Linked DNA regions of Elephas maximus indicus. The protein of the gene in region 1 binds, or shares a complex with, the protein of each later gene. Links are inferred from orthologs where the notes say so. Each region holds a gene or a part of one and is shown in the gene's direction. Other genes may lie near its edges.

Region 1 (10,087 bases):
TTCCATTCAAGTTGACAAGTATGCACAGCCTATGACCCAGCAATTCCACTCTTAGATATATACTTAACAGAAATGAATACATGAAGAATCGTGTAGAAGAATGTACATAAAAACCAAACCTGTTGCTGTGAAGTCGATTCTGACTCATAGTGGCCCTATAGGACACAGGAGAACTGCCCCATAGGCTTCCAAGGAGCACCTGGTGGATTTCAAACTGCTGACCTTTTGTTTAGCAGCCGTACCTCTTAACCACTATGCCATCAGGGTTTCCCAGAATGTATGTAGCAGCATTAATTGTAACGGCCAAAAATTGGAAACAACCTAACTGATCAAAAACTGTAGAATAACATCAAGTAAACAGAACAATCCAACATAGAAGAAAGGCAAAGAGAAGACCCAGGAGAACATCTGTGTACCCATTGCCGTCGAGTCAATTCCGACTCATAGCAACCCTATAGGACAGAGTAGAACTGCTCCCTAGGGTTTCCAAGGAGCAGCTGGTGGATTCGAACTGCTGACCTTTTTGGTTAGCTGCCATAGCATGCCATAGCTCTTGTAGCAGACCTAAACATCAACCAATCCTTACAGGAGGATGAAAGTAGAGGACATGAGGAGAAATGTCTCCAAAAATAAATAAAACTAATACACTGCCTCACATTTGACCATATGAAGGCAGGTTTTATATCTCTGGAGGAGTTTGGAGGAAAAATAGTACTGGTACAAGGAAATCAATCAATCAAACTAAATAACCAAGGTATTTATTAAAAACCTGTTGTTGTCAAGTCAATTCTGACTCAAGGTGACCCCATGTGTATCAGAGTAGAACTGTGCTCCATAGGGTTTTCAATGGCTGTGATCTTTTGGAAGTAGATTGCCAGGCCTTTCTTCCAAGGCACCTCCAGGTGGATTTGAACTGCCAACTTTTTGGTTAGTAGCCTAGCACTTTTCCATTTGCGCCACCAGGGGACTCCAGGAAAAACAAAATGTCGTACAAAAAAGGAAGTATAATAATCATATGTTACATGTCTCAGCTATGAACATTTACATAGTCATAATAATGTTAACACTGAATTATGATTTAATGAAAAATATAATTAAATAATAAGGATGGGGTAAGGAAAAGTATACAGAAGTACAAGACTTTGCATTGTGAATAAATCGTATTAGCACTACTTTTATTTACTCGTGTCTTGACAGTCTACCATGACTTCAGTGATTAATAACAGGTACAACTTGTGAGCTAGCATTACTTTCTACAATCGTTTATGACTTCATGGAATTTTCCAAAACACGTTTTAGAATCTATTGGAGTTAATGCAATGCATAACACAGGCTAGGTAAAGCAGACTCAAGTAAAACATTATGACAAGAGTGCTCATATCCTTATATTGAATGTCAGGGAAGCACAATAAAGAGGACCCCCATAGTTTATAATAAGAACAAAGCACAGTCAAATTTAATCTTACTTGGAAACATGCCTTCAAGATGATTATTCAGGTAATAAGGTTTCTTGTTTAGCTCACTGAGTCATAAATATTCTATATTTCCAGCTTTTTTTATTAGTACAGAGAAAAGCAATTTATAGCAAAGCTCACCAATGAGCAGAGTATTTTTAGGTCCAAAACACTGTTTTCTCTCTGTTCAAGACTCCCTGTCCATTTCTCTCTTTTAATTGAGACTGGAGAATAGACAAAATTATTTTACATTTCTCCCCTCAGTCACTTTCTGACTATATGTGTGCATTGGGGGTGAGATGGTGGTCGTAAGAGAGGTAAACCCTCATTTTCAATAAAAAGTCAGTAGGTCATCCCCTCCTTTGTTTATGCGTGAAACTGAGAGCAGTACAAGGGCAAGGGGGAGGGGAAGGATTTGGGGGATTAATTAGGCAAACAACCTTTTGTTTTGAGTTTAAGATTTAATGGGAAAAATTCAAATAGTTTTTAAAATTGTAGAAAAATGACTAATTTAACATTATTCTTCTTATCATCATCAAGATAAAGCTTTTATATTTGAATACGCTGTTCTTGGCTGGTGAATCTAAATGATTCCATTTTTAAACTCACCATTATTCATCATTATATGATCATCCAAACAATGCTTTAAAGCATCTGAAACAACCAAAAGGCAAAGGATCTTTAACATCTATAAAGAGGAAACATGAACTATGAGATCTTTTAACACTGGAAACTTTTTTTTTTTATCTTTGGGATTACTACTCAGAATTAGAAAATTGTTCATTGTGAACCATTCTTCCCTTCAGCCCTTAATCCATACCGCTGAGAAGTTTACCATGCTTAAAGGAGAAACATATTTCTGAACTTAACTTTTTTTTTTAATTTTAGGCTAAAAAACAAAAAACAAACCTGTTGCTGTGGAGTCAATTCCACTCACAGTGACCCTGTAAGACAGAGTAGAACTGCCCCATAGGGTTTCCAGGAGCCCCTGGTGGATTTGAACTGTCGACCTTCTGGTTAGTAGTCGAGCTCTTAACCACTGCGCCACCAGGGCTCCTATTTTTGCTTAAGAGGGGCTTATATGTTCTTCTTTGGTATTCCCCCCGCCCTTTGGGGGCTTGTTTTATAGCCTCAGTCTCCTCAAACCTGAAGTTCCATTATCTCTCTCTCTAATTGTCTTTTCTTCTACAGCCACGCAATGTGTTACTATACTTTTAAGAGTATCTTTATATTTTTGTAATATAACATAAACCTCAAAACCAAACCCATTGTCATTGCGCTGATTCTGATTCAGGGCAACCCCATGTGTTGTACATTATAACTGCTCCATAGGGTTTTCTTGGCTGTAACTTTTTCAGAAGCAGATTGCCAGGCCTTTCTTCCATGGTGCCACTGGGTTTCAACAGCCAACCTTTGGGTTAGTAGTCGAGATGGTGCAAACGATTAAGCACTTGATTACTAACCAAAAGGTCGGCCATTTAAATCTACCCAGAGGCATCTCAGAAGAAAGGCCTGGCGATTTGCTTCTGAAAGGTCACAGGTTTGAAAACCCTGTGAAGTACAGTTCTACCCTGCATACATGGGATTGCCATGAGTTGGAACTGACACAATAGCAACTGGTTTTTAATATAACATAAACAGCATTTCATTAACATTACTATTACATCTGAGAATTTACCAGTATATTTAAGATAACTGGATTTTTTTCTAGTTTTGTGTGTGTTAAACTACTAGACTTAGAGATGTCATCTGGGCTCATTAATCAGCATATTATTTGCCAGCCACGTAATTCTGGGTTTGAGCCACCAACATATCTGTCTTAATTTATGTTGCAAAATACGGAAATGCAAAATTGGGGAAACAACAGTACCCACATAGGTCTGGTGTGAGGGCCAAATGAATTAACACTAATGCCCAGCATAGGGTAACATGATTGTTTCTGTTATTGTGAAAGTCTGTAAGCCTCCTTTTCTCTAAATATCATCTCACTCTCAGCATGTAAAAGGGAGCCCTGGTGGCGCAGTGGTTAAAGTACTCAGCTGCTAACTGAAAGATCAGCAGCTCGAACCCACCAGCAACTCTGTGGAAGAAAGATGTGGTAGTTTGCTTCCATTAAGATTACAGTCTTGGAAACCCTATGGGGCAGTTCTACTCTGTCCTATAGGGTTGCTATGAGTCAGAATTGACTTGTCTGCAAAGGGTTTGATTTGGTTTTGGTCTCAGTACATAGGAACTTTGTAAATTCACACTAGAGAAATAGGATTCATTTGTAATTTTTGTTTGACTTTTATATCCTGTAAAATCACCCCCCTCGGAAAGTTACACATTTCCCAGATTTTAAGTTTATTTGATTTACTTACAAATTTACATAAGCGTGATGTTCTCACTCAGAATTTAATGCAATCCCTCCAAGGCTCAGTAACCCATTTCAGACTAGAAACTTTTTTTTTAATTGAGAAATTCACCTTTATCTCCCATGAAACTGAATCCCTTAACTCATATTTTCTATTAATCTTCTCTCCTGCTTTATGTCATCACTAGACATGGAAAACAGCTGGTTAACACTATTTGTTATAATCCTTAACTGATGGAAAAGTATTTGAAATAATCATACTATGTAAGTTTCCTTTTTATACTGGAGTCCAAAGCTCTCAAACATATCTTTAACTTGACTAATATATAAAAGAAAATATTATGCTTTCCTTCACAGATAACATTAGAGTCAGTAGGCACTTGTGCGAAACAAATTTTTTGGCTTTTTTTTTTTTTTTTTTTACAAATTATCCAACTCCCTTCCTAATTGTCTGTTTAGGATCTGGGTCATTTCAGCACTGATCTGGGTCAAGAATTATTTTTTAAAAGAATAATGAACACAACATTTAAATGAAAATAACTTTTGTACTGAAATTAGATGTTAGTTTTATTGTTCCCATTAAGCTAAGTGGAGTTGAATGCCAGACAGTCCCACATGCTACCTACAAGGAGTTTTATTTGTGAGATGAATGAGTACAAAAGGGACAATAGAACTTGTCGAAAGCAGCCTGCTCTAGGAAGGCCAGGGATGAATTTTTAGAGTAAGGCTTGTATGTATGTGTGCGTAGACATCTTTCTTCTGCTTTTCTGGGGTGTGGTCCCAAACACGATATTGCCCATCTTGGGAAGAAGGACCTTAGAGAGTCCAGTGAAATAAGGAGGAATTCGGGGGTTTCTTTTGAGTCCTTCCTTCCTCTCCTTCTCTTTTCTTTCTTCCCAGTTTGGGACTACTATGAATAATATATAATTGGCTTTTTTTTAAGTGGAGAGGAGGGTGACTCCAACTAAATCATGTTGGGTTTTATTTTTTTTTTCCTTCCTGCAGGGCAGCAATACAACGATAGAATACTTTAAAAAAAAAAAAAAAGGCGATGACAACAAATCTCAGTTTAGTCATATCACGTCATTTAAATATCAGCATCTTCTGCGTGTTTATTATGTGAATCAGCTATGAATCCTAGCCAATATAAAGAAAAAAATTCTAAAACTTCTGGAAGTACACTTTAGAATAGTAGAAAATACAAATCTTTCCCCTAATGAGGTAAAACTCGGAGAACACTGAGTTTATCTGAGAAAAACAAAATGAAGTACAGCCTACAGAACCTATATTTTGGTCTGAAAAACACTGAGCTTTCAAGATTAGAGCATTCAATTTACTCACAAATAGGGACCCTGAGAAATCTATGGCTACCAGCACTCCCGGCCAGAAGTAGGTAGCTACTTTGTATGCCGGGATTTGTAGTCCCCGAAGAGTAGTTCTATTCAAAATGGCGGGATAGCTAATGGTGTGCGAAAGAGCAGGCCCCGACAGAGTCTGGGCCGCGACCGGATTAAGAGTGCCGGGATTCAGCAAGCGGGAAGTAACGACCAGGTGTTAAAACCTTTCTACTGAGGGAAACCGGACGCTCTGAAGTCTCGCGAGATCCTGGCGCGGCCCAATCGAAAGCGAGGCCGGGCTTGTAACTAGGATCCTCTGTTGGGGGGCGGAGCTCTGAGGGAGCTGGGCGGGTTTCGTCGGTGTCTCACATAGCGGCGTATAGGCCCTGCAGCCGCTGTGAGAAACGTAGCCGTGGCCATGAAGGAGGAAAAGGAGCATAGGCCCAAGGAGAAACGAGTAACCCTGTTAACGCCCCCGGGGGCCACAGGCAGCGGCGGTGGGGCTTCGGGGGAAAGCGGGAAGGGGGAAGATAAACAGGATCGGAACAAGGAGAAGAAAGAGGCGCTGAGCAAGGTGCCGGCCGGCCGTCGGCCCGCGAGAGGGTGGGACGGGTCCGCCGCCCACAGCGCATGGTTGGGACTGGGGCTGCCCCCTTCAAGTCCCAGTCTCCCCTCCTGTCTCTTCGGCTGAATGAAAATCGCACCACCCTACCTCACCCATTCGCCTGAAATGAGGGAATCCCCTCCCGGTCAAGCCCTGGGGTGGAAGTGAGGGAAGGGGGGCTCCCCAGATGAGAAGGGTTTAGGTCAGAGCTGTAAGATGATTATCGGCGATGGGACGACAGTGAAGAGAATGGAAAATTAAAAGGGTTATTGGGGAGAATTATTAAATCGTGAGGCGGACCTCAGAGGCGGGAGTAGTTTGTGATAGGATTAATGGAGGCGAGTTGGGGGAGCGCTTAGGGGAGATTAGTGGTCTTTGTAGGGGGGATCGGGAGCATCCTATTTTGGGAGTAATAGGTGCGTTTTTTATACTCTTAACGTTAAAACCAAAAATGTTAGAGTTTTGAATTCTTTAAACTGAATGAGAAAGGATTTTGTTTTAGGATGTGTTGGATGTGGAGGGAGATATCAATAAATCAAGAGTTTGTGGCACCCACAAAAGACCAGGGTTGGCCTACTGACTTCTTAACACTATATTTGTTGAAAAATGGGTGATAAAAAATGCTGTGCAAACCTAATAAATTGCAGGGCCGCTGGTTAAGAGCAGAACCGGAGGTTGTCCTTAATCCAGGCGGTTGTTGTAAGAGTTTTTAAAAACCGCGTTACTAATAGGTTTGACTCTTTCTGATCATTAGGCTGTCGAAGAATATTTTCTCCTGGGTTTTTACAAGTAAAATCATCTTTTAAAACCCAGCTTTCTTCAGGAACTGTGATTCGTTCAGGTATGACAGAGAGTTGATGTGTAGTAATTTGATTTTCCTTATTCATTTCTTAAGGTGGTAGTTCGAAGATTACCTCCCACTTTGACCAAGGAGCAGCTTCTGGAACATCTTCAGCCTATGCCCGAGCATGATTATTTTGAGTTTTTTTCTAATGATACCAGGTAAAGGAAAAGGGGGAGGGGAGTAAAAGAGAAAGATTTCTTCTGTTCTTTGCCTCCTACTAATATTTTCCATTTGATTTTTGATCCTCTTCATTTTAATGTATGTGTACTTGTAATTCAGCCAGACCCCCGCAAGCACATTTACATAATTGCTTTCCTCTCTGCAGTCTGTATCCTCATATGTATGCCAGAGCATACATCAACTTTAAAAACCAAGAGGACATTATTTTGTTCAGGGATCGCTTTGATGGTTATGTATTCCTTGACAATAAAGGTGAGTCCTTATAACTGAACTAGAAGGGGAGTTTCTTCGTCACTTATATGTATAAGACAATGTGTGCATCACAGTCAGTGCTTTCATAGCTTTTCTGAAATCCTGGGTGATAAAATGTGTAACATTTAGAGAGTTTTTACACAGGCGATGAGCTTAGTGCAGTCTTATAAATAGATATGTAACTTGTCACTATAGGGTCTCTATAAATCCAAATTGACTTGATGGCAGTGGGTTTGGTTTTTGGTAGTTTAACTTGTCACTTGCCCTCTAGTATTTATTAACCTGTTCTTTCTGTGGTTTGATCAACTGGATGAAATCACCACCGTTTTCTCATGTGACAAATTTTGCACCCTGGATTAGATGATAATGTTTTAATTATTTACTAGTTTCAGCAGCAATATTGATAAATAACTGTTTAAACTTGTAAGGCAAGTTTTACATGTTTACTTCTCATCTTGCTTCAAGGACCAACATTTGTTTAGTTATTTAATTCAAATACTTTAAGCCAACAGTTCCCAGTGGAATACTGGTTGACATTCTCACTCAGTTGTGTGTAATTAAAACAACAAACTCGATGATCTCCCCCTTTTCATCCAGGAGGGTCCAGTCTATAGGGAAGAACAGTTTCTGCCGTAACTCTCTTTTTATTAATTACCTGCTACTTGTGCAAGATTTAGTCAGAGGATACCCTAGCTGCCATTTGCCACTTTGGGCTATGCAATCACAGGTGAATGGTGTGTCATTTTCTTTTGTTTTTTCAGTATTCCTTCAAAGTTGGTAAAAATTAAATCTTTGCCGGGAAATATACTGGTTAAAATTGAAGGATTGCCACTGTGTATTGGCTACCTTCTATTAATCCTCCTCCAACACCAGTTACTTCTCCACTCCAATTTTTATTCCAGTAGATTGCAATGATTTCCTAATTGCTTAGCATGGAAGTCTGAGTTGCATTTAACCTTTTTCTCCTTTTTTACTCCCTACACTTAAACAAGTAGTGAATCTTGTCAGTTTATTTTTAAATGTCTTGTTTATCTAGACTTACTAACACTTTTACAGTTTATATCCTTATCACCTAATGCTTGGACAACCACTGGCTCTAAACTTATAGGATTTTCCATTTTTGTGTAATTCATTCTGTTATATTGCCATGAAATTAATCTTTAAAAATACTGATTTTAAGATAATTGTGATTTAAAGAAAAAAGTCTAAACTCCTTAGCCCAGTATTTAGGTCCTCCATAGTCTGGTCCTACTTCTGTTTTCTCAGCCTGTATTTCTCACTGCTTCAGCCTGGTTTATCTATTCCTTCTCCTCAAGTATATCACTTTTATTAAGCTAATCTGATTCAACATTCATTAGCATTTCCAAAACCGTGTTTTTTCCATGACTATAATGCCTCCTGGCCATTTCTAGTTGTATGATTCTGGCTCATGTCTACATGCCAACGAGCTAAAGATGGTATTTTATGTCTTGCGTGACGTTTTTCTATGGCGGGATCTGCTGTATTTTTTTTTAATAACAGCTTTATTGAGATATAATTCACATACCATAAAATTCACCCTTTTAAAGTATACAGTTCAGTGGCTTTTAGAATATACATACAGTTGTATAGCCATCACTACACCCTAATTTTAGAACATGTTCACCACCCCAAAAAGAAACTCCATACCCATTAGCTGTCAGTCCTCATTCTCACCACCACCACTGCCCCCAGCTGTAGGCAACCACTAATCTACTTTCTATCTCTATAAATTTGCCTATTCTGGACATTTCTGATGTATTTTTAAATTAGTTTATTTCACAAATCAAAATGTCACATTTTAGGAATTGAGTAAATAAAAATCTTCTTTATTTGCTATATCTTTTCATTATGTTATCAGTGTGAATTTTGGGTTCCTTTGATAGCATGTTGAGTATAGTTGTGCCAGTGTTGTTTATGCCCTTTGGGAAACCCTCTTCAGATTACTGCCATCAGAGGAGGCCTGTAGAGCAGCGGGTTGACTCCTTCGTACTCACTTTTGACATTTTCTTTGTTATAGCAAGTTTTTTTTTTTTTCTAAACAGGTCAAGAATATCCTGCTATAGTAGAATTTGCACCTTTTCAAAAAGCTGCAAAAAAGAAAACTAAGAAAAGAGATACCAAAGTTGGGACTATCGATGATGGTACAGTATTGCTATAGTTATGTAATGTTATTGCTATGGGTTTATTTTTTTTTATATTACCTCTGTGAAGGTTAATTAGATACCAGTATTTTAAATAAGAAAACATATGGAATAAAGTTAATGAGAAAAGGCTTTGCTTAATTGTTAGAATGGAGGTGGATTTCCTACATAGAGTTTCTACTCTATGGTTAGCGGCATTTCATTCCTCCACCATTAAGCAATATAGGATTAAATATTGTGTAGTAAAACACCTTTAAGTCTACTGATTAGACAATGGAAAAAAATCAGATGTTTCAAAGTATAACAGCTGCTTATTGAGACCTCTTACTATTTTTATCATTATTTATTTCGCTTTCAGTTTCTCTTATCTTTTATAAATAGGTTTATCATTGAGAGCTGTGATAAAAAAATTTCCATACCTGAGTAATTTAATATAAGATGGCTTCTGTGGTCAATTCTATGTTTTAAGGCTTTGAATATGCAGTTACCTATAACCCAGACCCAGTGCCCTCGAGTCGATTCCGACTCATAGCGACCCTATAGGACGGAGTAGAACTGCCCCATAGAGTTTCCAAGGAGCGCCTGGCGGATTCGAACTGCCGACCCTTTGGTTAGCAGCTGTAGCACTTAACCAGTACTCCACCAGGGTTTCCCAGTTACCTATACACATAGTAATTAGGCTGAACTAATAGGAACTGAAAAACAGGAATAATTGGCATATAAGGTAAACTGGGTCCAGATTTTGAGATCTGTGTAACCGCTTTTTTTGGCGATGTTAGATAAAGCTTGGCTCCAGTATATCACATTGGATTGATATTTCAAAATAATGTAGTTTGATTTCCATCACTCACTACTATAACTGATATAAAGAAGACATAGTAAAGAGTCAATGACACATAGC
Region 2 (9,823 bases), on another chromosome or scaffold:
ATCAGATATGTAATAGCCAATTTTTTTTTTTTTTCCATCTGTAGGTTCTCTTTTTACTCTTTTGGTGAAGTCTTTTGATGAGCATGTTTAATTTTTAGGAGCGTCCATTTATCAAGTTTATCTTCTGGTGCTTGTGCATTCTTAGTTATGGTTTACATTGTGTTTACGTGATGTATTAGGGCCTCTTTCCTTCCATGATCTTTATTGTTTTAGGTTTAATATTTAGGCCTTTGATCCATTTGGAGTTACTTTTTGTGTATGGTGTAAGTTATGGGTCCTGTTTCATTTTTTTACAGATGGACATCCAGTTATGCCAGCACCATTTGTTGAAGAGCTTGTCTTTTCCCCACTTAACGGACTTTGGCTGTTTGTCAAATATCAGCTTTCCACAGACGGATGGATTTACATCCAGGTTCTCAATTCTGTTCCATTGGTTTATGTGTCTGTTGTTGTACCAGTACCAGGCTGTTTTGAGTGGCTGTATAGTAGGTTCTAAGATCAGGTAGTGTGAGGCCTCCCTCTTTGTTCTTCTTCTTCAGTAACGCTTTACTTATCTGAGGCCTCTTCCTTTTCCAAATAAAGTTGGTGATTAGTTTCTCCATCCGCTAAAGAATGCTTTTGAAATTTGGATTGGGATTACATTGCATCTAGAGATCACTTTGGGTAGTGTGATAGTTGAGATTGTGTGTCAACTTAGCTGGGCCACAATTCTCAGTGCTTGTGATCACTTCCCTGCTGAGACCTGATACGTGATCACTCCTATGATGGGATCTGCTCCAAGTAGCCAATTAGCTGAAAGGGAGTTTCCTTGGGAATGTGGCCTGCATCTGAATATAAGCAGACGTCTGGCAAGGCTCAGGGGCTTCTGTTCATTCTGGATCCTGCAGCTGGCTCCTGTTCATCTGACCTCCGGTCTTGGGACTTGAGGTAGCCATTTACCTGCAGTCTTCCCTGCCTATCTTCAGATGTGCTGATCTTCACAGCCTGTGAGCAAGAGCCCTGCTCTCCGACCTGCTGGTCTTGGGTTTGCTAGCCCCTGCAGCTACGTGAATCAGGAAAAGCCTGTATACTGATCCACAGACTTGGAACGTTCCAGCCTCTACAAACACATGAGCCATTTCCTTGATATAAATCTCTCTCTACCTATATATTTATATGATTTACTACTTTTGCTTCTCTAGAGAACCCAGCCAAAGACAGGTAGTATTGACACTTTCACAATGTTGAATGTTCCTAACCATGAGCATGGTATATTTTTCCACATACTTTTCTTTTTTGTAGTTTTCCACTTGTACTTCTAGATTCTGTCCTTCCTACCACCACGAGGATTTTCTCCTACGGCTATCTTTTTTGTCTTTCCCTGCTATCATTAATATCTCCTTGCCCTCTGAGTATAAAAACACTATATATCTCACTTAAAAAACACATCAGGAATAGGAGTAAACGGAATGGGTTGCTAATTGTTTACATGAACAACTGCCTTCTTTGCCATGAGACCAGAAAAACTGAATGGTGCCTAGCTGCCATTACTGACCAGTTTGATAAAAAAAATTCTATAGAATCCTGATCAAAAGGGGGAAAATGTAGAACAGAATTTCCAATTATCATGGGATCCAGACTTTATGGAGTCAGAGAGGTTGGCTGAACCCCTAAAACTATTGCCCTGAGATCATCTTTAAACCTTAAACCTCAAACTAAAAATATCCCCTGAAGTTTTCTGAAAACCAAGCAATAGTTTAGCTTAACTAGTAAAGAATGTTTGCCTTGAGTATTGTGCTCTTTTAAAATCTATCTATATGGAATGAAATTGACAACAGCAATTCGAAAGATTAGACAGGAAACTTGGGGTGGCAGTTAAAATTTTTGACTTCTCAGGTTTCTTGGGCTGCTAGTGCCCCACTTATAGTATGTGCTCATGTCTGATTGCTAGGAAATCCAAGTCCCACTTAAATTCTTTGCCTCTATGGTTCTTGGGATGCTAGTGCCCAATTTATAATACATCCTGCTGTCTGAAGGGGACATGTATAAAAAATAATTCAGTCATGAAAGGGCTTTTAAACTAAACTTCAGCTCCTAAAAGGCAGAAGTTGAATTTGTTCAAGGTCTGGCACACATCTGCAGGCAGTCCACATCATTGTATTATATTGGCCTGAGGTCAGTGGGTATAGGCTGTAGTTAGAGCTGGTAAGCCTCACCTGATGCCTGTTTTTTTTAAGTCAGGCTTTGCTTTGCCCTGTAATTGTAATCTCTGTCCTCTGACTTTGATTTCTTCTGTGAAGCAGCAACATTGTGGCTAGGTTTTAAGTAGAAAATAGTGTAAGTTTATATAAACAGCAATATAAATAGCAAGTTTTTTTTGTTGTTGTTGTTTTTGTTTTGTTTTTTAAATCCATATGGTAGTTATGTCAGTTCTGTCAATTGGAGCAAGCAAAAAGGAGGATACTGGATATTTTTGAGAATTTTCTCAAATAATGAAGTATCTACATAACCAGTTAAATGCTTAGTACAATATATTTTCAGAAAATAGTGGTTTGAATTATTAGAATGCAAAAATGATGACCTCTTTAGAGTGGCATGTCTCTTCAGTTAGCGATGTCAGTGATGTCCCCACATCAGAAGGCTTTTGGTGGCAAGCTTGATAAAAATGATCAGCAGCATTTTCAGTCTATGTAAAAGCTTACATAAGTGTAGCAGGATATAGTGAAAAGAGCTTGGCTTTTGGAATTAGATTTGAGTTGAATACTAGATACTATGGCTACTAGTGACTTTGGGTAACTTTTCTGACTCAGTTTCCTTATCTACAAAATGGAGATCATAATACCTACAAGATTTTCATGATTATTAATTAAACTAGCAAATGCTATTTTAAAAATTGACGCCTTTTGAATTATGGTATTGGTGAAGAATATTGAATATACCATGGACTGCCAAAAGAATGAACAAATCTGTCTTGGAAGAAGTACAACCAGAACGCTCCTAAGAAGCAAGGATGGCGAGACTGCATCTTATATACTTTGGACATGCTGTCAGGAGGGATCAGTCCCTGGAGGACATCATGCTTGGCAAAGTACAGGGTTAGCAGAAAAGAGGAAGACCCTCAATAAGATGGATTGACACAGTGTCTCCAACAATGAGTTCAAGCATAATAATTTAAGGATGGTGCATGACCAGGCGGTGTTTCGTTCTGTTGTGCACAGGGTCGCTGAGTCGGAACCAACTCCATGGCACCTAACAACAACAACAAAAACAGCAAATGCTCAATAAAAATGCCCTCCTCCTTTCTTCTGGAGCCCTGGTGGTGTAGTGACAAAGAGCTACAGCTGCTAACCAAAAGGCTGGCAGTTTGAACCCACCAGCTGTGGCTTGGAAACCGTATGGGGGCAGCTCTACTGTGTTCTATAGGATCGCAATGAGTCAGAATCGACTTGAGGCAATGGCTTTGGTTTTTTGTTTGCTTTCCTCTCTTCCGATCTCTGTGTTAAAAACGGTGAGATTTTGACAATTGAAGAGATCAACTATTAGAGAGAAAGAGAGATGTCTGCAAATAGGCAGTGAGTTCTAAAACTGCTGTGGCTATTGCAAAGCAGTTTTTTGCTTATATCCAATTTACAATGCACAGTTGGTTCTTTGAAGGATATACAGTGGTGCAAAAGAACATGTTGCATGAAATACACAAAATCTTAGAGATTCAGGTCTTGGGGAAAAAAACCTTTTAGGTTAAACACCTACCATTTGTTACCTTAAAGTGAGCAAGGTCCTTGGGAAACAAGGAGGGGGATTTTTGAGATTAATGAGGTTGGTTTGCAGGGGTATATTTAATGATAAGATGCACAAAAGTCTTGGACCATTGTACAGGCTTGGGAATTGCTTAACACCTGTATTCACATGATTTCCTTTTAACAACCTGATGAAATGCAAAGGCTGATGTGATTTGAATGGGGCGAGAAGGATTTATGTATCAACAGCAGAGGCAAGTCTTCTTAAAGTATTCAGGCAAATTAAGAAAAAGGAAACTTGGAAGAGAAATGTGGGTGGCTATTTATGGCAAGCATAGTACTTTGAGAGCAATTATTTGTCTCTTTACTACTGTTTAAGGACCCTGGGAGGAGCCCTTGTGGTGCAGTGGTTAAACAGCTTGGCTACTAACTAAAAGGTCAGCAATTTGCATCCACTAGTGGCTGGGTTTTTAGCGGCTCCTTGGAAACCCTATACTGTCCTATAGTGTCGCTATGAGTTGGAAATCAACTCCAGGGCAATGGGTTGAGTTGGGTTATGAGTTTGAATGGTCGCAGCACACAACTACTACCTTTTAAATGATTGACCTATTTGGTGTTTTGGAAAAATTTTTTTTTTTTTTTTTTAATACGAGAGAGAGAGAGGCACCAATTATTCAGTTTGGTAAGGGAATTTGTGTGCTAACAACGGGAAGACAAAACAGTAAATAGAAGCAAATAAGCAAAAGCTAATTAAAGGGAACCCAGACCTGCTTGTTGATGCCTTTGAATTGTGGTGTTGGTGAAGAATATTGAATATACCACGCCAAAAGAACAAACAAATCTGTCTTGGAAGTACAACCAGAATGCTCCTTAGAATCAAGGATGGTGAGACTGCGTCTTACATATTTTGGACATGTTGTCAGGAGGGATCAGTCTCTGGAGAAAGACATCATCATGCTTGGCAAAGTACAGGGTCAGCGGAAAAGAAGACGACACTCCCAGTGGCTGCAACAATGGGCTCAAGCATAACAACGATCCTAAGGATGGCTCAGGACCCGGCAGTGTTTCGTTCTGTTGTGCATAGGGTCGCTGTGAGTCCGAATTGACTCAACGGCACCTAACAACAATAAATACCTGCCTCCAGTGTTGGAGGTGGATAGCAGCTAATGCCGTAGGCTTGGATACCTGGTAGGGCGCTGCAGGTCAAGCAATGAACAAGACCAGCTTTACACCTTTGTTCCTTTGGCTCATGACCATGTTCCTTTGGCTCATGATCATGTTGGCAGAGCCTCTCTAGCACTGTTTTGAGGCACCAACTTCAGGAATTTAAGGGGAACTAAATAGTGTGTGGATACTCTGATACCCATTTGAAAACTCGACCCGAGTTTATATTTGGAGGAAACATGGGAGCTGCCGATTTTTTTTTTTAAGGGAGATTTTGCGCAGTAATTCAAGAACATTTCATTGTAATTTTAAAATTTGCTTGCTAGTACCGGGCACTTTCTAAGCCGTATGGGAAAAGTCTTGACTCTTCACTCTGGGATATATTTATACCGAACACCTAAAACTGCTCTGGAAATTCCCCCACGGAACTTTTGTAGTCTTACTAAGGCATTCTTAAATCTAGACCCATCCCTAATCACCTTCCTTTCCAGCCATATTCTATAGCCTCCCCACTTTCCAATTTCCTAAATTTTCAACCTCCCTCAAATTAGTCCAATCAAACTTTCCCTTCTTAGACCTCTTCCTTACGTTCGCATCTAGAAACTCCTGTAACAGTCACATGGCCAACCTTGTCCTTAACGGCGCTCCGTAATTCCCCCCCCCGCCCCTTCTTACCTCCTGCTAGCTCCGCCCCACCCCATTCTCGTTCCCCTCCCTCCAGTGTCTGCGCCTGCGCACCTCCAGTTCGGGCGCTTTCCCTTTCCTAGTGACCAATCCACTTCCTGCCTCCGGTACTCAGAACACTCCTCCCCGCTGTCGGGGCCCTGGCCTGAGGTGTTAGTAGTGGCTGCCCCATTGGCTGCCTGTCTGAAAAATTCGCTCCTCCTTGAACCAGCCGTTAAGTGGCTCACACTTACATGAGCCGTTGCTCTGGAACAGCCACCGCAGAGCCAACCTGAGGGCATTGGCATGCCGAGGGATGGGGGATTCGGACTGTTTTGCAATCTGGCAATCGCTCAGACAGCCTCTTCCTTTCGGCCTCCCTCCGCCCCGCCCCCACCCGCAGCTCGGCCGCGCTGGTGAGTGGCGGGCGGGAGGGCCGTCGGGCGGAGGGAGGAGGGGGAGCTGAGGGAAGGCGGGTCCTCGGGTGCGAGATAGGTGGGGGGAGGGGAGGGGAGAGCCCGAGCGCTGGAGTTGGTGCTGGGAAACCCGGGGCTAATGTTGACAACAGGCTCGAGGTGAGTCCCGGGGAACCTCCTTCCCCTCCGCTCCAACGATCGGGAGGAAGCGGGGCTGGGGGACTCCGGCCTGGACCCCTACTCCCTGAGGGACCCAAGGGGCGACTCCGCACCCCAGCTCTCCTGGGGTGGGGAGCAGTAGAGGGACCGCTGGTCCGGCGTCGTCCTCTTCAGACCCCTCTCCCGGAGGCTCCCATCCATCCGGCTCGGGGCAGGCTTGAGGGGCGGTAGAGGAGGTGCCTGCCCCACACGCCTGGGCCGGGCCTCGGAACTGGAGGCGGGGAGCCTTCTGTGGCGGGGTGAAGGTGTTTGGGGGCGTGGAGTAGAGCGAGGGGAGGTTGGGGAAAGCTCTGGGAGAGCTGGGAGGGAAGCGAGGGCGAGGAAGTGGGGAGGGCGAGTGTGTGGGAAGATGTAGAGTAGGAAGACTAGCGGTGAGTCTTCCGTGGTGAAGGGAGTGTGGGTGAGAAGTTGGGGTTGGGGCAAGGATGGTCTGCGAAGGTCACCCGTGGGTGGCCGTAGGAAGGGAAGTTGTAGCGGGGAAGTGTGTTTGATACAGGAATGTGGAGGAAGCAGGGGTTGGTGGGAGATGTGTGTGTAGGGGAAGGGGTTTTGGTGTATGTGAGGATGGTGGACCCGGGTCATTTAGTTTATTTCCATTTGATCACAAGGCTGGTTGATTCTTTGCTTTGCCTTCATTCCAAGGCTTCAGGTACTCTCTTGTTAGTACTGTTGGACTAAGGAGATGATCATAGGCTATTCGGTGTCCAGATTGGCAAAGCAGAGCCAGCTTAAAGGCTCCAGGGGTAGTCACTGGACTGGCCGGACCATCAACTCTTAAAAATAGTAGCGCTTCAGATCAAAGTAAAACTATCACCCACCCTTTTCATTTATCATAGTTTTCAGTGGTTCATAAAAATTGCATGACACCTCAAGAAAACCATTTTTGAACTCTGGTGGAATTTGTAAAAACTTTGAATGAGTCTCTTTTTGTTCTAAGGACATTCTTCAAAGACTAAAGTTAAAAACTGGGAAATAATGCTCCTGTGTGGTTCTGCCCTTTAGTTAGAACATTTGGACTAATACGAGATTAAAAGGTAAAACACTATTCTCTCACTCTGTAGTGATTTCATACATAATCCATACGGTTCATGCAAAGGAGACTCTTTAAAAGGGAAATATCCCCTTAAACCTACCCCTCCACTCTGTTGGTACCTCTTTTACCAGTAAGATAATTTCACTGGTAACTTCAATGTATATTTAGAATACCATATAAAATATACAGCCCAAGTGCTCCACCAGGGCACATTTGGGAGCTAAGAAGGGCGTTTTAAAGCATGGTTTCCTTTTCAGAGGTGTCTGAACATAATTTTACTTAACTCGGTAAAATACCTTGTTAGAGCTATCATATTCTAATGTAAAGAGCACTGATTTTTACCTTGATTATTTTGAGATAAAATCTGTTTAACGTTCTGGTTTTTACTTGACAAACTTTTTGAAACACCTTAGATAAAGTCTTTGACTGTTTATTGAAGCATGAATTTATTATTAAAGAGTTTTAGCATTGTATTAAGTAATTAAGTTGAGCATTAAATTAAGCCTAATTTAATGTTCAGCTTAATTTTTAAAATTTTCTTAGTATACATATGTAGTGATCTGAATTATGTCATTTGTAGATTTTGTTTCCTAAATATTAAAGTCAGGTTATATAGTGGAAAAGAGCACTGGACAGTGAGTCTTGGCCCAGCCCGCACACTATTTGTGTAATCTTGGACAGATCACTCTGCTGCTGCTACCTCAGAGTAGAAATAGAGAATCAGAATGGATGAAGCCTAATGGGTTTTCTAACTCTAAAATAACTTTTCAGTGTTCTATAGGGTTGCTATGAGTGGCAATCTACTCGATGGCAGTGGGTTTGGTATTTTTTTGGTGTGAAAGAGAATCAGCATTTGTTGAGTGCTTCCTCATGCTGTCTGCTATGCTAGAAACTTTATTATATCAAGACCTCTATAAGATAAAAAAATATTTCCATTTGTTGATGAATAAATAGACTTGGGGAGCCCTGGTGGCAAAGTGGTTAAGAGCTCAGGCAGCTAACCAAAAGGTCGGCAGTTCGAATCCACCAGCTGCTCCCTGGAAGCCCTATGGGGCAGTTCTGCTCTGTCCTATAGGGTTTCTGTGTTGGAACTGACTCCATGGCACACAACAACAACAAACTTAGAGAAATTAAGGTGCTCAATTTCCATAGCTAGTTTGGGATGCAAACTTAAAGTCTGTCTGACTCCAAAGCCCATGTTAGTTTCACATGTTACATACTGCCCCTACGTGAACCTTTAGATTTTTGTCATATTTCTTGTTCACTGAAATTTAGCCAAGTATATGCTTATAATGTAGGCATGACATCATTCAAGGAAGACAGCAATATCAAGATGTAAGGGCCTTATTGAGAATCTCTTTGTGTTTTATCATGTTCTCGATTATCATGAATGCCTACTAGAGTTTATTTCATGTAGTAGGTATTTGAGATAAAAATTTATTAAGTAAATGAATACTATAGAGTCACAAAGCTTTGGGGGAGACTCTTTTGAGCTAATAAATGGTGAGTGATCCTTTATGAATTTGTCAGATTCCAAGCTAATTTCTTTTTAAAATTTAAAAAATAACTTTGATAAGATTTCATTTTATCTTCATAATAAAACATAAATTTTGATGCCATTTTTTATATTGTCTGAGAACTGTAATTACTTGTAACCCTAAAATTCACTTGTTGATGCTTCACATCAGAAAGTACAAATTCTGTATTATTATTTTAATTTTTTGCACGTAATGACGAATATCCCTAAATAAGATTGTGCTTACTTAGGTGCTATCTTGTCCTCGTGCTTTTCAGCCAGAATCTGGGAAAAGTTAAAGACATTATGTAAAAACTGCTTAACCATTAATTATTAGGGGACTCTTTCTACCCCAAGATTCATAATTCTATAATTTGTCATAGTTAGGATCTATGATCAAGCCTTCCAACTCACAATTTGGTGCCCTTAGGATTCTTAACTTTGGTTAAGAATGTGAGTTCAAATTTCAGCTCTGTCTTTAGCTGTGGAGGCCTTGGTCAAGTTACTTGGTCCAGTCTCAGCTTACTCATTTATAATATAGGGAAAATAATACCCACTTCATAAAGATTTTAGTATTAAATGAGATAATGTAAGTAAATGTCTAGCACAGTGCTGATGAGCGGTAGCTGTTAGTGTTATTTGTTAAAAGGTTTGCTGATTTTTAGGGCATGACCATATTTTTCACATTAAAGGTGGGTATTTTTTTTTTACTTAATTGAGGATGTGTAAGAATTGATAACTAAATTTTTAGATAATGTAAATGTAAATACTTTCTTGGCACATAAATAAGTTATGTATTTCCACATTTTGAAATGATTTTTTAAACAGGATTAACAGCCTATTTTTTTGTTTTTTTGTTCTGAGTTCCACCAGTGGGGTTAACTAAAGCCTTTAGGTGTCATTGTCAAAATGAATGCATAGAACATGGAAGTGGAGGAGAATAAGAGAGTAAAAGAGAAAAAGGGGAAGGAAGAGGTGGCTGAGAGAAGGTACAGAGTGTGGCATGTGCCTCCAAAAATTACTTAAAATTCTCCTACTGGCCTAGGTTGTCTTTCTCTGATAACATTTTATAACAGTGCTGAAGTAAGTTCTTTGT
Region 3 (9,755 bases), on another chromosome or scaffold:
GCTAGCTTCTTAGTCCCTGTAAGACTAAGGAGACTGAGCCTAGAAAGTCAAAGTTTAATCAGTAATGCAAATGCTTTGTGTGTGTTTGTTTAATAAACAGCAAACATGGAAACCAAGCAAGAAAGCTTTATCTCGAAAGGTTTTTCATAAGGGCTAGAGAAGGATGTAGTCTGAGAAAGAAGGGTTGTATCTTCTAATTTTGAGTCATCCATTTATGTGTTATGAAACTTATTTCATTAAACTAATATTTATTGAGTGACTATAGACTTTTCTGGCATACAGCTGCCTTAATCTCTACAATAGAGATGATAAAAGTAAATTAATAGAAGTTAATGCCACTGGAAGAATTCCAGAGACACTCTCCACTGTCAGAAAAGAGACTCTGCATGTGTAAAATGGATATATTACTTACCTCACAGGGTTGTTGTGAGGATAGAGAGTATTTATACAGCATCTGGCACATACGTGCTCAATAAATATAATTTTTCTTTCTTTGTCCCTTCCTGTTCCCGAACTTTTCATATATTTTTCATTTAAAATCTATTGGGTCTGAAAACCTCAGTCTGTCAGCTACATTGCAAGCCAGGACATTCCTGAAGATAATGGGATGGTACAAATACCACATGAACAAAATGATGATGTCATCCTTTTTATGTGAGCTTCTGGATGGTGATAGTAGTCTTCTACTCCTTCAAAGTATTGAAAATATTGTAGTAATGGCAATTCGGTTGATCTGTGCTTCTAAACAATACTCTGCGTAGCCTGGGAGTGACATCTAAGATGGCTATAGGAAAGATGCCTGGCAGTGGAAAATTTTGTAGAAGTTGGAATCCTGCTGGAGTCATGACGAGTCAGCTAACTGAATAATGACACTTGCAGCTGTGGGGGTACCACAAGGACTTAATGTCACAACGATTTAAAAGGTGGCAAGTGGCAGAAGGAAAAAGGAGGGAGAGTGGCATAGCACACGATAAAGTCCTGCGGAATCTCGTTGTTGGCTCTCAGCAGTTCATTTAAATCAAATTCACAGAGCATTTATTTATTCAAATATTCTTTTAAAAATGTATTAGTAGGGCCCACTGTACTGGACACTGTGATGGGTGTTGGATACAAGAAACAGAGCAGTTTTGATTATAGTTTAGAAGGTTAGAGATACATTATATATTTACTTGTATGGGTATTTGTTAATTAGCAGTTGTGGTAAGTGCTCTGAAAAAAGGGATAAATGAAGGGAGTATGAGATGGGGACCTTCCTGAAGAAGTGGCATGTAAAATGAAACCTTAGGGATGAGTAAGGAAGCCAGATAAAGAAAGGAGAACTGGGAGAAAGACTATATGTGTTAAAAACCTTTGGGCAAGAAAAAGCACAGTTGTTTGAGGAACTGCAAAGAGGTAAGTGTGAGTTCATGGGCAGGCGGCACAAGATACAATGGGGCACTGCTCTTTCATACTGTCCGTTCATATTTATTTTGGTAATAGGGAAAGAAGCAGACACCTATTATTTTAAAGTTTTATCCCTAGTTTTATAGGTCTGGGAAACTGGATACAGCAATTGCTTACTCTAAGAAAATGGTCTTTTCCTTAGGTGGCCAGGCTTTTTCCAAAAGGAAGATTTTATTTCTGGAATTCTAATTCTGGCGTCTTTGACCAGGCAGCCAAATTAGGTATTTCTTTTATTGCTTTGATAACCCCCTCAACTAAAAACAACAAAAATACTTTATTGATAAGAAATTTCCAACATCACCTGGATACAGTGTCACACTGGGAACTTGACAATATCATTTAACTTGGAATCATTTGAACCAGTAGTTTTCAATCAGGCTCAGGCAGAGTACTAGTGATTTTCACGCTGGATTTGGGTATTTTGTTAAAACTGAATTATAATTTTTTTTTAACATTTAAAAGAAAAAGTAAGTTAATGGGTAGAATTTTCTCAATTGTAACCTTGCCGTAATAATTTTTCTTACATTGTTGCTTTATCATAACTCATTTTAACAAATAAACAAGTAGCAAAGATAATGGTAAATTGGGAAGATAGCCTATTATGCTTAATTTAACAGGCCGTTTTTGTTTTGGACATAAGAGTTAGTGGTTATGTATGCGTTAGAAACATATAATATTGTCATATACTGGGAAAGAATTCTTAATTTGAAAAATGGAATTAAATATATTATCCTGTCATGAAAAAGGACCTAGAAATAGCTCCAAGTACTCACCATGTATGAACTTACCTGAAAAACAATGGTGTGGAAATTTTGGAAGTTCTCTTATTAAAAAATTAATACCACTGAGTGGTTAAAAAAATATTCTGGTTAAAATTCCACAAGGAAGTCTATTGTAGAAAAGAGAAGAGAAAGGTAAGTGATGGAAAAAGACTGAAATAGACCATGCCATTCTGGCATTACAAATAAAATAAAAAGAAACCACCTTAAAATACTGCTTTAGACCATAAAATATTCTTGGCTTATTCCTCTGGTCCTTTAACTGAAGGAGACAATTTTTGTACTTGCTTACAAGCAAGTGCAAAATAAAAACTATTAAAAAATTACAGATAAAGTAAACAAATGAAAATGAAAGGCTATCACTTCTAGTGTTTATTGTAGGAAAGTTAGAAGATGTCTGAAGATTGGAAGTAGGAATGATTTAGCGGTTGAGCGCTTTAACCACTCACTGCGCCACCAGGGCTTCCTCTTGATAATTTTAAATAGAGGCAAAAAAAGGTGTGAAGACAAAGGGGATATGAAAGAGAGGTCAAAGGAAGAGAGAATTTTAGCTGTAGGAAAAATCAGTAGAACATTTTAAATATTAAATTAACTGGTATAAGAACCATCTCTGCCCGTAGCCTCCTGACTTGATTAATCACGATGAAGCTGAAAGCAATAAACTTTTAAAAACTTTCCTGGGGCATCATTATTTTGTCAATGAGTTTTGTGTATTTGCCTGAATCATTGAGCCTCAATTTCAAGTGAAGCTGACAATAAAATGTTTACTTTTTACCTATGTCAGAGGGTACTTTGAAGCTGAGTACACATAGGTTGTATTAGCAAACGAGGTAATGGTAGTCCAAAGAAAAGACTTCATTTGGCTTCATGAAAGCAGCCCAAACATTTATTTACATAAATAAACTGTGGTGATATTAGTAATTGTGCCCTAATTTGAAGCCTATGGCAACTGAGATTAACATTCACAAAATATTTTTACTACTTCCAGCCCAAGTAAGAATGTTTGAAAAGGGTCTTCTATAACTGGATTGTCCAGCATAGTAGCAACTAGCCATGTTTGGCTATGTAAGTATTAACTTAAATTAATAAAATTTAATAATATGTAAAAATAAAAATTCAGCTCCTCAGTCCCTAACCACATTTCAGTGCTTTGTAGCCATATGGAAAATTTCCACATCACTGCTGTATGACATCCTAGAAGATCCCAAAACACAAATACTTTACCATTTTGCAATTCTTATCATGATTCAAGTGACAAGTCTTTTGGCATTAAAATATAAAGAGTTAATTTTAGACCATAAAATATTCTTGGCTTACTCCTCAGGTCCTTTGACTGAATGAGACAATTTTTGTTCTGTAAGCAAGTACAAAATAAAAATTAGTAAAAAATTACAGATAAAATAAACAAATGAAAATGAAAGGCTATCATTTCTAGTATTTATCATAGGAAAGTAGAAGATGATTCTGAAGATTGGAAGTAGGAATGATTTCATTTTTCACCAAAAAACAAACCAAATGGATCACAGTCTGTATTTTCAGAGATACTAAGGAATATTTTGAGGGTATTGATGGTGCAGTGATAGAATTCTCCTCTTCCATGTGGGAGACCTGGGTTTGGTAACTGGCTAACGCACCTCCTGTGCAGCCGCCACCTGTTTTTCAGTAGAGGCTTGAAGTGTTGTTATGATGCTGAACAGGTTTCAGTGAAAATTCCAGACTAAGATGGACTGGGAAGAAAGGCCTGGTGATCTACTTCTGAAAAGCAGCCAATGAAAACTCTGTGGATCACAGAGGTCGGATCTGCACCTGATTATGGAACGGCTCAGGAACGGGCAGTGTGTTTCGTTCCTTTGTGCGTGGTGATGCCAACGTGATGGCAGCTGACAACCAACATGGTGGCCTATAAAAAAAAAAATAGTAAGGAGTAATTTGTCTATATTAACAGTTATGTAATAACGCTTTATTTGTAAGGCTGAATATAACCTGGCCCAGTCTGCGTTTCTAGTCGTTTCACTTCCATGAATCTTACATTCTAGCTATGTGCTGGTTTTCCCAAAACATGTATTTTCACACCACTGACTTTGCTGAGCACATTCTGTGCCTGGAATGCTCTTCCATCCCTCTGAACATTTGCCACGGTCCAATTCAAATAGCACCTTTTTTTTTTACAAGCCTTCCTTGATATGCCCATTTCTTCAATTTCCCCTACTCTTCACTAGAATGACTTGCTTCCTCTCCTGTACTGCCAGCATTTTTTACATATTCTTCATTACAGCATTTGCTGTCTTGTGCTAGTATTTGTCTATATGCTTGTTTTCTTTTCTAGACTATAAATGCAAAAGGCTCTTTTTATTTCCTGTGTCCACCATTTCTGGCACATGGGGCATGCTTTATATATTTCAAAGCTTATTTTACATACGTTATTTGATTCTCTTAACAATTCCGTGAGCTTCACAGTCGATTGTGGTATATCCACTTGGTTAATGAACAAACAGGCTTAGAGACACTGACTTGACAAGGTTAAATAGTGGCAGTATTTGGGTAACTCTTAGGTTTTCTGAGCGCTACTCTTTCTACTAAACCCTGCTGAGGGTTATGGGATCATTTAACACACAGAATTACTCTGCTGGTAACAGAAGAGTGATCAATAATATTTGAAAAACAGACTGTGTAAAAGCTCGCTCTGTCTTTCCTCATCCTTCTCTTTGTTCACTTCCCCAATTCAATTTATCTGATGAGAAACGTGGGCTAAATCATTACTTGATCTTAAGTCAAATTGCCAAAACTCTGTAGGACACTAGAGGTTAACCCTTAAATATGGAATGAAGCACATTATAAGTTTTTGATATTAAAAAATAACTCTTCTATACGGTCAAGGAGTTTTAGTTTCAATGTGCCTTTCAAAACTTCAGACCTCTTCCTCTGATGGATTCCTTCCATTTTGTGTTTATTATTATAGTCTTCTAGCTGTCTGATACCAGCAATCGTTGTTTAAAGAAAGCCCCGTGCTTGAAATCAGGCAGGAGAAATGGACGTATTCCAGGTCTCCCACTCGGATTCTGGGCTTTAGCTTTACTCACTTCACAAATTAAAATGGCAAAAAAGCCATGCCCACTTCACAGGCCTGTCACTGAGATCTACCAGTTTCCCTGGAGGTTATCCTGACTCACGAGACCCCATGAGGATAGAACTGGGCCCCGTACAGTTTTCGATGGCTGATTTTTAAAGAAGTAGATCTCCAAGCCTTTCTTCTGAGGCGCCTCTGGGTGAACTGGAGCCTCCAACTTCTGGCGGTAACGCTTGCATGCACCACCCATGGATTGCACGGTGAGAATTTAATACACAAAAATTAAAACCGACTTGTAAATCTCAGTTCTAAGCCCACACAAAAATGCCGTTATGTTTTTTTACACTTTGTCCTCTGCTAATATAATGGAATCACTTAATTTTTATTTTAACGTGCTTCCAAACGTCAGGAGGCGACGTTCACGTCACTCCTAACCTCCCTCCGTGCTTTCCTCGGGGATCAGAAGCGCTGGCGGAAGAATCGTGGCTGCCGCAGTGACGCGCTTATTCTGGGCCGCTTGACGTCACTGTCAGGCGCCGGGAGGCCCGTTTCCAGGACTTCGGAGGGCTTACCAGGCGCGAAAATGGCTATGGCTAGCGATTTTTACCTGCGCTACTACGTAGGGCACAAGGGCAAGTTTGGGCACGAGTTCCTGGAGTTCGAGTTTCGACCAGACGGTGAGCCGAGGAGGGGCAGCTGGCGGGGTGCTGGGCTAAGGGAGGCGAGGCGGAGATGCAGCGGAGAATAAGGGAGGTGGGGTGGAGCAAGAGAGCCTCGGTGGGCCTGGAGTGTACGTTGCGAACACAGGCTACTGCTTGAGCCGAAACAAATGGGAGCTTAGAACCTAAGGTAATCAGCATCCTGAAATCAGTGCGCCGGAAGGCATCTTAAGGCCAGCTGCTTTAAAGACCTAATACTTGAACATTTGTAACACCCCACCAAGCAGTGGACCGGTGGATGCTTAAGATCTTAACTGGTGATCGATAACTTCCGGACTACCCATTCATTGATTGAGCAGTGTGTGTAAGGCAGCAGGTCTAGAAAGAGAATGAGACCAGTTCTGAAGGGTTTAGGCCGATGTGGGAACAAATAAGTGTGGTGATGTGTTTTGGGTGCTTAAATAGAGTTGTTTACCACCGGGTGCATTAGGAGTACAAAAGGGGGAGTGGTTAATTCTACATGAGGCAGTCAAGGAAAACTTCCTAGAGGAGGTGACCCTTGAACTGAATCTTGAAATAGGCTTAGGTATTTCATGTTCTCTGAGGAAAAAAGGTAGTCAGACTGGGAGAACAGAATGAACAGAGGGCAAGGTGAAGCTGCCTGTTGCCATGTAATGTGTAGCAAATTGTGTCTTTTGACAGCTCTGACTATAGAGAGAGCATTATTGTATATTGAACTCTATCCACCTGCAACAAGGACGGTTCAACTGAATAGATTTTCTTTTGGAGTGCATATTATGTGCTGGGAAAATGATAAATAGAAAACTAAGGATTCAGTAAAGAGTAAGAGTCTTTAATTTCCCTCAAAGAGTTATGCTTGAGTGGGAAACAGACGTGAAATTAACCATAAAGCAGTGTGGATATGCTTTGGACAAAGTTCTTTGAGAATATGAAAGAAAAATTAGAGAGAGGATCACATACTAGGAAAGGGGAAGAGTATCAGGCATTTCAGGTGGAAATCAAGGTATCTACAGCCCTGCTGTTATTTAGAAACCTAAATCACCTCATTTACCCTGTCATCTGCATGTCTTTTCTAAATTTGGTTAAGGAGTTAAATATACCTGAATTCTTCATCTGAGCTTTTCTTATGTGATGCTATTTTCATTCCCCTCACCTGTGAACATCATCCAGCTTGTCCATACGCCTTTTTAGCCAGTCAAATAAATTAAGTACCCTGACGTATCAGGGAAATTTTATGCCGGAACAGTGGTTCTCATCCCTTTATCTTCCACCACACTGTACCACATACTTCCATCAATAGTAGTGGGTCACAGACAATTTCTAAGGGGTACACATCACTAACCCCCCCTAAAAACACACACACACACACACGCACACAAACCCGTTGCACTAGGGCACCCTATTATTTTAGAGGGTCAGGACCACATTACGTCTGTACCTGGACAACTGACTGGCTGTGAGGAGAACGATTTATCAGAGAGTACAAAAGTCATGATGGTTTAAAATTAAATATAAATCAGCTAACAAACTGGTAATCTTTTATCCAGAGCCAGAACAGAATTTGTATGCTTGCTTGTCACAGTACTAAAACATTACTATTGCTGTAATCATGTACATTAATTTGAAGGGAAATAATTAAAAGAAAATGTTTTGGAGTAGTGGAAAAAGCATGAGTACTGGAAGACAGTAGGTCTAGATATGAACCTTGTATGATCCTGGGCAGGTTACTTAACTGCTTTCTTACTAATGAATAAAAAAAAAAAAAAAAAATGAATAGGGATAATAAAATCTACTACTTAGGGTTGTTTTTACCATTAGAATAGATGCTTTAGGTAAAACACTTAGCACCAATACAGATATATAACATAAACTTAAAAAGATATATTAGTTCCTTTTTCAGATTTCTTTTCCAGTTCATGACATAGCTTAAGAAAATGGGCCTTAAAAATGACCTTCATATTATATAGTGTAGGCATGGAATATTAAAAAATTTGACTAGCTTCACCTTCTACCAACTTAACAACAAATATTTATTGAGTGTCTCTATGTCTAACATTGATCTTATACACCAGTTAGCAGTTGCCTTCAAGTCTGTTCTTATTCATGGTGATGGCGCTGGGCTGTCAACCGAAAGACTGGTGGTTTGGGTTCAGCAGTAGTGCCTCGGAAGAAAGGCCCAGCGATCTACTTCCCAAATATCAGCCATTGAAAACCTAGTGGAGGACAGTTCTACTCTGACACAAATGGGGTTGCCATGATCTTACACTAGGAGGGAGGAAATGCTAATGTGATATAAAAATTGCTTACAGTATCATTTATTTTTTAGCAGTTTTTACTGTTATGGATTGAATTTTTTTCCACTTTCCATAGGAAAGCTTAGATATGCCAACAACAGCAATTACAAAAATGATGTTATGATCAGAAAAGAGGTAAGTTTTTTGTGTGTGTTTTTTTACATTTAGTCCATTTTCCTCATGTTTGTTGAATTAACAAAAGTACATCTGAGGCTGTTTGTAAAGAAGAAGCCAATTTATAGATTGAAAAATGATTCAATTAAATTAGATATAATTGTAGCATCTCTAACAACAAAAGAAGCTACCTGGATATATTAAGTTATAGTCCCACATTTGAACATATCATCCAATTTATTTTATAATTAATTTTGTTTTTTATTTGCTACCTAAAGCCAATTAATGAACATGATTTAAAAATAGTATACATTTTAAATTAAAGACTCAAAATGAGGTGTGAAAAAGTTCAAAGCAGTAACTGGTATGTGTTTGGTATTTATCTCTCTTTACCTCATAGACTTTGTACTGTCACCATTTATACTCTGAGATATATAAGTCCCCATGTTTCAAAGATGGAATATAGTGTATTAAAACCGGCTAGTGATTGGAGCCATGGTGGTGCAGTGGTTAAGAGCTCAGCTACTACCCAAAAGGTCGGCAGTTCATATCCACCAACTGCTCCTTGGAGACTCTATGGGCAGTTCTACTCTGTCCTATAGAATGGCTATGAGTCGGAATCTGCTGGACAGCAATGAGTTTGGTTTGTTTTTGGTTTAGTGATGAGAAGAAGGAAAAATATGTACTAGAAGAAAGGGTAAAGAGTGAAAAAAAATAACATATGGAGAACGAATGATTCCCATCCTGTAAGTTTGAAATCAGAATTAAAATTTTCTATAATATTATATTTGAATATTCAGGGTTTGTAACTCCTTTTAATCATTTCTTTCTGAGTAGTAGGAAGAAATAGTCAAGCATGAAATTTTTATTATAACTTATTTTCAGGCTTATGTACACAAGAGTGTAATGGAAGAACTGAAGAGAATTATTGACGACAGTGAAATTACCAAAGAAGATGATGCTTTATGGCCTCCCCCTGACAGGGTTGGCCGACAGGTTAGTGTTTAATAATTCTTTAAATGTATAAATATTAAAAATTGGCAATGTAATTGTTATGTTTCACCTTATTTATTTAGAATGAGTCTTCCCTGGGTCTTGATTTTACATTTAGTAGGCACCTGATAATTATTTTAGAATTTTATTTCATTTAGATTCATTTTCCATGCTACATCATAGTAGAAAGGAGTCAATGTATAGCTGTAAATTTAGAGATCTTTCTGGATAATCTTCATCATAGCTACCTAGCTAAAATTAGGATATTTTCACAATTATGAATAGTTTCTATTGTATGTTAACTGCTTTTATTAGGAGTAAGTACAAGTGTTGTTTGTCAGTTCTAGACTTATAATTTTAATTGACTATGTGAAGTTCACTTTCC

The links.
Region 2: the proteins of UPF3B (region 1) and UPF2 are in contact, whole or in part, in a crystal structure (PDB 7NWU), measured with the Homo sapiens proteins. The link is inferred for Elephas maximus indicus from reciprocal best matches to the Homo sapiens genes UPF3B and UPF2. Residues at the interface, in NP_542199.1 of Homo sapiens: Lys52, Arg56, Arg57, Tyr79, Glu81, Phe83, Asn85, Asp86, Thr87, Ser88, Leu89, Tyr90, His92, Tyr94, Arg96, Tyr98, Ile130, Glu132, Pro135, Phe136, Lys138, Ala139, Ala140, Arg147, Asp148, Lys150, Val151, Gly152, Thr153, Ile154; in NP_056357.1 of Homo sapiens: Lys767, Arg768, Pro769, Pro770, Leu771, Glu773, Tyr774, Lys777, Lys790, Arg793, Gln794, Arg796, Lys797, Leu798, Pro799, Trp800, Gln801, Cys811, Ile814, Asn815, Trp817, Tyr837, Gln838, Glu839, Asp840, Ile843, His844, Val846, Asp847, Gly848.
Region 3: UPF3B (region 1) and MAGOHB share a complex: the UniProt entries of both Homo sapiens proteins name them as parts of the mRNA splicing-dependent exon junction complex. The link is inferred for Elephas maximus indicus from reciprocal best matches to the Homo sapiens genes UPF3B and MAGOHB.

The regions. Positions count from the first base shown.
Region 1 is NC_064846.1:37,043,430-37,053,516, forward strand, and holds the start of UPF3B (regulator of nonsense transcripts 3B), read left to right. Parts: upstream 1-5,491; 5' UTR 5,492-5,562; coding exon 5,563-5,718; intron 5,719-6,643; coding exon 6,644-6,750; intron 6,751-6,917; coding exon 6,918-7,024; intron 7,025-9,087; coding exon 9,088-9,186; intron 9,187-10,087. UniProt on the Homo sapiens protein: Involved in nonsense-mediated decay (NMD) of mRNAs containing premature stop codons by associating with the nuclear exon junction complex (EJC) and serving as link between the EJC core and NMD machinery.
Region 2 is NC_064822.1:45,339,878-45,349,700, forward strand, and holds the start of UPF2 (regulator of nonsense transcripts 2), read left to right. Parts: upstream 1-6,043; 5' UTR 6,044-6,118; intron 6,119-9,823. UniProt on the Homo sapiens protein: Involved in nonsense-mediated decay (NMD) of mRNAs containing premature stop codons by associating with the nuclear exon junction complex (EJC).
Region 3 is NC_064822.1:69,354,356-69,364,110, reverse strand, and holds the start of MAGOHB (protein mago nashi homolog 2), read left to right. Parts: upstream 1-5,806; 5' UTR 5,807-5,872; coding exon 5,873-5,966; intron 5,967-8,339; coding exon 8,340-8,398; intron 8,399-9,262; coding exon 9,263-9,373; intron 9,374-9,755. UniProt on the Homo sapiens protein: Required for pre-mRNA splicing as component of the spliceosome. Plays a redundant role with MAGOH in the exon junction complex and in the nonsense-mediated decay (NMD) pathway.